Linked DNA regions of Sus scrofa. The protein of the gene in region 2 interacts with the protein of the main gene of each other region in a biochemical or structural test. Links are inferred from orthologs where the notes say so. Each region holds a gene or a part of one and is shown on either strand. Other genes may lie near its edges.

Evidence for each region.
Region 1: the proteins of TJP1 (region 2) and CLDN2 form a complex in vitro, tested with the Homo sapiens proteins (2 studies listed by BioGRID and IntAct, with this or other methods). The link is inferred for Sus scrofa from reciprocal best matches to the Homo sapiens genes TJP1 and CLDN2.

The regions. Positions count from the first base shown.
Region 1 is NC_010461.5:87,351,553-87,354,544, reverse strand, and holds CLDN2 (claudin-2), read right to left. Parts: upstream 1,577-2,992; 5' UTR 1,442-1,576; coding exon 749-1,441; 3' UTR 623-748; downstream 1-622. UniProt on the Homo sapiens protein: Forms paracellular channels: polymerizes in tight junction strands with cation- and water-selective channels through the strands, conveying epithelial permeability in a process known as paracellular tight junction permeability.
Region 2 is NC_010443.5:145,192,851-145,197,280, forward strand, and holds the start of TJP1 (tight junction protein ZO-1), read right to left. Parts: upstream 3,008-4,430; 5' UTR 2,941-3,007; coding exon 2,768-2,940; intron 1-2,767. UniProt on the Homo sapiens protein: TJP1, TJP2, and TJP3 are closely related scaffolding proteins that link tight junction (TJ) transmembrane proteins such as claudins, junctional adhesion molecules, and occludin to the actin cytoskeleton.

The DNA.
Region 1 (2,992 bases), on a different chromosome or scaffold from region 2:
GAACGTTCCACCATGTCTTCTTTCCTTGTGCTTTCCCTGGGCAGCGATTCTGGTCTTTTTTGGTCCCCCTCCTCCCTCTCATCCTACACCCACTGGTTCTCTGTTCCCTTGGGACTGTGGGATGGCTTTATTTCAGGTCACACACAAACCAGTCCAGACACTGTGGAGTTATAACAAGAGAGGGATGGAGGCTCCCGGGCCCATTACTTACTAGCCAATCAGTTCCTTTGGAGGGAGGCTTGGGATGGAGCTTAGCGCCAGATGGCCATAGAAGCCACCGTGTCTCCTTCCCACCCCCACCCCCCAGCAATGAGCTGAGAACCAACCCGAGCAAGAGGAAGGGTCTTCGATCACAGAGAAGGTCAGTCACTGGGATGCGATTGGTGGGTTTGGGGTTGGAGTTTCAGGTAAACCAGAGGACTGAGGGGCGCCTCTGGGGCCTGGCCTAGGGTGGGGGGTGGGTTTAGAGTGGAGAGTTGGGGATTCAAGGTGGGAGGAACGGGGCGCCAAGATGAAGGGAACCGAAAATCTGGCTTGGCAAGCATCTTGACAGTTCAACCTGCACGCTGTCACAGCAGCTCCCGTTTCTGCCCTTGCTTGATCCAGTGGCCAAAGTCAGTCTATCCTCAGCAGCACCTTCTGGCGCAATCCAGTGGCAATGTCCCTCACCTGTGGCCCTGGGGGAAGGCTGTCCACTGGCTCTCACAGACCCAGCCCCCCCCAACCGCCAGCGCTGGCCCCTGGGTCTTCACACATACCCTGTCAGGCTGTAGGAGTTAAACTCACTCTTGGCTTTGGGTGGTTGACCAGGCCTCGGAGAGCTCCGGGTGGCGAGGGGCTGGGCCTGATAGGCATCGTAGTAGTTGGAGCGATTTCCTTGCAGTGGGCAGGAAAAGCAGAGGATGATCCCAGCTATCAGGGAGAACAGGGAGGAAATGATGCCCAAGTAGAGAGCCTCTCCGATCTCAAATTTCATGCTGTCAGGCACCAGGGGGGAGTAGAAGTCCCGCAGGATCCCATGAAGATTCCACGCAACGGGGATGAAGCCCAGGAGGCCTCCAAGGAGGAAGAAGACTCCACCCACCACCGCCACTCTGTCTTTGGCGCGAGAGTTCTGGCAGAAGACGGTGCACCGCATGCCCACCACGGTGATGATACAGGCCAACGAGGAGATGGCGCTAGATGTCACCATCATGGCCTGGGCAGCCTGGATGTCAGCAGGCAGGCCCAGCATGGTGCTGTAGATGTCACACTGGGTGATGCCAGTGCTGTGCGTGGCACACTCCATCCAGAGGCCCTTGGAGAAGCCGACTGCCGTCACGATGCTGGCCCCGACGTAAGAACTCGTTCGCCAGCTGGGGAGCAGCATGGCAACCAGGGTGCCCAAGAGCCCCAGAAGGCCCAGGATGTAGCCTACAAGTTGGAGGCCGAGAGAGGCCATGGCCGACCTCTCCGTAGATGCGTCTTCAGGGCCCGTTCCCTCGTCTCCCGGCTGTAGCACTTGCTCCTTGGATCCTGGCCTCTAATCCCTCATTGCACAGTGTCTCCGCCAGGCCGACCTCTCGCCTCCTTACAAGTGTCTGTGGGTGGCCACGAGCAGGCTCAAGAAGGCATCCAGAAGACCTAAAAAAAAAAAAAAAATCCATAAACCAGATTAAATATTGACCAGAAGCTTATGAGAAACCAGAAAATGCTGGATGCCTTTTGACCTTTGTTATCTTTAGAAATAACACACGAGAAAGAAAAAAAAAAAAAAACTTTGAAAGTGGAGCCAAAATGTCGTCGCCTCCTGCGTAGGCACATGCATTAGTTTGGCAGCCAGACAAAGCCAGCGGCCAGACGGGTGGCTGCTTTCCGAGAAGCTGGTGATGGCAGCGTTGGTCGTGGGGACTGTGTTTAACTCCGGGTCAGGCTGTCGGCTGGCACGGTTCTGTCTCCCAGGCCTACTGTTTAACGCATTGCCCGGCAACAGTGCCACAGGGCCCCTCAATTGCACACTGGGGCCAAACTCCAGGAAACTGGAGTGGGAGGAAGAGGCCCCAAGATAGAGCCGTGAACTCCAGCTTGTGAGAGACCTCTCGAATCTCCAAAGGCCTAGAGAGCAATGATGTAGGCCCGAGTCAACCTGTCCATGATGAAAGGGTTGGGGCAGGTTGGGACAGGCAACAAAGCCTTCAGTCCACTGTCTCAGAGTTCAAGTCTTCCCAGCCCTGCCCAAATCCTCCTCCACAGGCTAGCCTGAGGTCTCCTGTCTGTATAACACACGCAGATTTCTTTTCTTTTGTTTTCTTTTTTTGTCTTTTTAGGGCTGCTCCCGCGGCATATGGAGGTTCCCAGGCTAGGGGGTCTCATCGGAGCTGTAGCCTCCAGCCTACACCACAGCCACAGCAATGCCAGATCTGAGCCGCATTTGCCACCTACACCACAGCTCACGGCAACACCGGATCCTTAACCCACTGAGCGAGGCCGGGGATCGAACCCGCATCCTCATGAATACCAGTCAGTTTGGTTAACTGCTGAGCCACGACAGGAACTCCCACCCCGACAATTCTTGCCCACCCTCCTCAGAGGTGGCCCACCATCCCTAGGCCTTTTAGGTGACGTGGGAGGATTCAGGAGCAAAGATTGTTCCAGGGCCTGGAGGGAGTTCTGACATTCCCTAAGCTCTCTGTTAGGGGCACCAGGACAGACAGAGGAAAAGATAACTGCTCTAGAATAGAGGGCTTTGCAAGAGGCAGCCTTTAGCATCTCAGAGCTGTTCGGGATTTTGCAGGGTTCAGTGAGCATCCCCCCAGCCCCTGCCACTCTTACCAAGTTTCGACACATTAAGGGTCATCCTTCTCTCCAGCTATTGGAAGACCCTCCGACCCCACTACTTTTTCCACAATCTGGCTATTCCATTTTACCCTCTTCAAGATGTCTCTTTCATTTTACTCTCTTCAAGATTTCTCTTTCTCTAATCACCTCTTTTTTTTTTTTTGCCTTTTTGTCT
Region 2 (4,430 bases):
TTCTCACATCTTGGTGCTCTGCTCTGGGTTTCCACCCATCACGCTGGAGTCAGACCCATATCCGCATATCCTCCAGCCACAGAGTGGTGCTGTCCATCTCAAATTCTCCGTGTGCAGTTGCTAGGACAGTGGCAAAATGAAATGTCATCTAGAAAATACATTCCAGAAGATGTAAGGAATCCATATTCTCCAACTTAAAAAAGGACTATACACAAATCATCAAAAAATACTAGAGCCCTGGAGAGTGTGCGCGCACCTTACTTTGCCCCTTGAAAAACCAGATGAACATCTGCAAATCTACTTAATATTGAGTGGAAATTCTGAATGCTCATTTAAGATTGTGGAAAAGCACAACAAAATCCTCCTGCTCTTTCCAGGCTGCCTCTTTTTAAGACGTTTTTTAATGCTAGCCCCAGTCACTGCCTGCCTTGAACGTGACTCTCTAGAGGAAAGATGTTCTTTGTGTTCTCTTCACAAACTCTTTATTGGGGAAAGCAGTTGTGAAAACCGCCCTCCAGTGATCAAAAAGAATAAACCTGCTTTCTTGACCTTGGGACCAATTGCTGCTAATATTCATACCTAACAGCTCCTCGAACATTATCTCCATATCTTGGTTTTTAGATGTAACATCAAAAAATTTTCCTTAACTTTCTTTCCCAGTTACATATTATTAAGAATTCATTTAGGAGTTCCCATCGTGGCTCAGCAGTAAGGAACCTGACTAGGATCCATCAGGATTCGGGTTTGATCCCTGGCCTTATTCAGTGGGTTAAGGATCCGGCATTGCTATGAGCTGTAGCTTAGGCTGGCAGCTACAGCTATGATTCGACCTCTAGCCTGGGAACTTCCATATGCCACAGGTGTCACCCTAAATAGACAAAAAAGAAAAAGAAAAAAGAATTCATTCATTTAGGATTCCTCCTGTGGCACAAAGGGATGGACAGCATCTCTGGGCTAGGACACAGGTTCAATCCCCAGCCTGGCACAGTGGGTTAAAGGATCTGGGGTTGTCGCAGTTGTGGCTCGGATCTGATCTCTGGCCCAGGAACCCCATGTGCCACAAAAAAGGGGAAAAAATCATTTATTCAATACACATCTTTTGAGAACTGATTTTGTACTAGACACTAGCTGCAAGGAATTCAGTAGTAAACAAAACAGACAAAAAGCCCTGGCCCCATGCAACTTACATTCTAGGGCGAGGGAGAAGTGACTTACATAAAACTTTAGTAAAATATGTAGTTTGTTCAATACTGATCAGCGCTCAGAAGAAAAGGTGGATGGGGATTAAGACTGTTGGTGTGGACCTCTGCTGTTTTTGCTGTAAACATTCATCTAAAAAGTTATCTTCAATTGTTACTTCTTTTTACTTCATAATATCACCATATCCTTTTTTTTCCCCTGCACTAGAGTCATGTGGAAATTGCCAGGGCCAGGGATCCAGCCCACACCACAGCAGCGACAACACTGGATCTTTAACCTGCTTCACCACAAGGAACTCCCCGTGACATATTTTTGATGTATTTACTAAAACCCTCTTCCATGAACATTTCTTAATTACAGCCAACTTTTATCAGCCTAGTCTTCCATGTGTTGACACTTGCTGTTCATCAAATTAAAATACCTTCTGCAGAATAAATTTCTGTTTTTAAACAACTGGGAGGCAGGGAGAGGAAGACACTAACATTTACTTGGCACCTACTATTTGGCCAGGCATAGAAGCAGGCAGGCACTTTGTATTTACCAGGGCTTCTGATCTCCATATGACCCCAAAAGATAGGTAACATCGTTCTCCTGTTACAGAGGAAGAAACAGATACTCCAGCAATTGTCTAAAGTCACACAGTAAGTGTGGCATGGCTGAAATTTGAACTTCGAGGCCCATATTTTTCAGTCTCTCCTCCAAAACTTTGCACTACTGGGATTTTTTTTTTTAATCTTCTGTTTTTCTTGGCTGATCGATCTTTATATTCTTTGGATCGTTATTACATTTTGTCTTATATAGCAAAAATTTTACTTTTCTCCAGTGCCTAAAAGCGGCCTCACATCCCTTCTCCATAACCTTAAAATTAAACTGGACTATGTTTAATGGAATCGAATAAACCTCTCTGAACCATATTAACCACAATTTAAAAAAACTTGAAGTGACCCCTGAACTCGAAGATCACTGGCACCTTTTTTCCCCCTACAGTCACCATCCCCTTACCTGAGCACTCCTTTTGCTATAGAACCTCACACCTAGGTCCTAAGTCGATGGAATGAATGCCTAGGTAGTCACTGGGATTTCACAGGGCATATTTAAACGCTAATAAAACGCAACACAATCAGAGATAATCAACTATGAACATCAGATATGGATAACCCCACATTTTCTTTCTTAGGGGTATTCTTCCCCATCACCCCAACAGCAGTTCCCAGGTTGGAAGAACTGGACCGCCCGCAGTAAATTACAGTCCCTGAAATCTCAACAATGACCCGCCACTGACGCCCCGAGCGAGGGAGCGGCGCGCCCTTGACCGCGGACCGGGCAGAGGATGGATTCTGAGAAAGCTCAGAAAGCGCTCGCTGATAATACACGGTTCGCTGCCTCCGCGTCAGCCCGGCTGGAGATTCTCAGCCAGAACCCGCAGCGGCGGAGACCCGGGGACCCGCCCCGCCGTCGGCTGCACACTCACGGTAGTCCAGGCGAGGGTCGTGAACGCGCCCCGCCCCCGTCCCCCCACCCCCTTCCCCGACCCTGGTCCGCGCACCCCGCGCCCCGCGGCCCTCACCACAGCTTCCTCTTGAGCGGCAGGAGGCTGCCGCGGTTGGACGGCGTGACGCCGATGGCCATCTGCAGCACCGTCAGGTATTTCTGGTACTTCATCTTGTCCCCGCTCCGCTCGCGGCCAGGGCCTCGCCGCCGCCGCCGGCGCCGCAGACACAGCCCCTCCAGGCGCCGCATAGGTCAGCCCTGGGCCATCCGCCGCCCCGCTCCGCCGCCAGGCTCCGCTTCCACCGCCGCCGCCGCCGCCGCCTGCGTGCCGGCCGTGCGCGTCCGGGCTCCCGTTCCCGCGTGCGTGCGTGGTCTCCGCTCCCGCCGCCGTGCGTGGCCGCCGCCCCCTTCCTCCCCTACCCACCCAGCTCCAGCCCCGCGCCGCGCGGCGCTTCACACCCGCCCGCGAGCCCGCGCCCGCCTCTGTGCCGCCGGCTCCCAACTGCGGGCGAGGCCGCCCCTCCAACCCCGCGCCGCCCCAGCGTCCTCCGGTCGCACAGCGCGTTCACTCCCACAAAATCCCAACCACAATCTTCCAGAGGAGAAAAAAAAATTTTTTTTTTTATAATTACTACTTGACACCATCATTTATGTGCTCCACCCAAAGTGTGTGCACGTGTTGTGTGTCTGTAAAATGCACGCACATACACATGCTGTTTGTATGTATAATATGTGTATATATGTCGGTCCTCTCTGGCAGGCAGACCAACTGTGGAAACAACCCTGAACCGTGCAAAACTATCTTAAAAAGAGTCGACGGGAAAAAATGAAGACTGTTACACCGACCTTGAAACATTTTGTCCAAACATTCCTAACTCTTCACTGGTGGTTATAAGTGTATAGAGAAATGGGAAAATAGCAAAGCGAATCATTTGTTGTACTGTAAAACAGTGCAAACGTTGAGAACTGAAGTGTTTTATTCCTTTTCTTGTCTTTTTAGGGCCACACGTAAGGCATATGGAAGTTCCTAGGCTAGGGGTCAAATTGGAGCTGTAGCTGCTGGCCAATGCCACAGCATAGCAATCCTAGGCCAAGAGCTGCGTCTGTCACCTACACTATAGCTCAACGTGGAATCCTTAACTCACTGATGGAGGCCAGGGATGCAAGCAGCATCTTCATGGATACTAGTCAGGTTCCTTACCTCTGAGCCACAGGGGAACTCCAAAGTGTTTTATTTCTTGCAACAAAAAAGTAACGAGTAACATAAAGGGTGCTTGTCTTTTCCTAGAAGAGTTGTTATATACCCACAGAGCCTGTTTTCTGTGTCTTGGCAAAGAGTCATGTTTGGATCACTTTCAAGATTTTATCCTCTGGGTGATCACTGTGGTAGAGTATATTAGAGTTCCTTTAGCCTTATGTCCTCTGGGACATCATCATCCTTTCTGTCACAGTCCACTGTCCTCATTCAAGCTTTCGTTTGGTACATTCCTCTGGCAGCATGTCCAGAGTCACTGGAAAGGTGGCAATGTCAGCATTCCCACAGTTGCCTATTTTTTTAATAACTCCAGTTATATTCCATTCATATTTCATGTCTCTTCCATCTTTACCATTTTTGTTTCTTTGCTGCACTTCCATCTTTGTTGGCTAATTCACTCTTTCATTTAACCTGATTTTTTTTTTTTTTTTTACAAAGCTGTGTACGTTTACCACTGGAAGAAAAGAAGGCAACGTAATTGTAC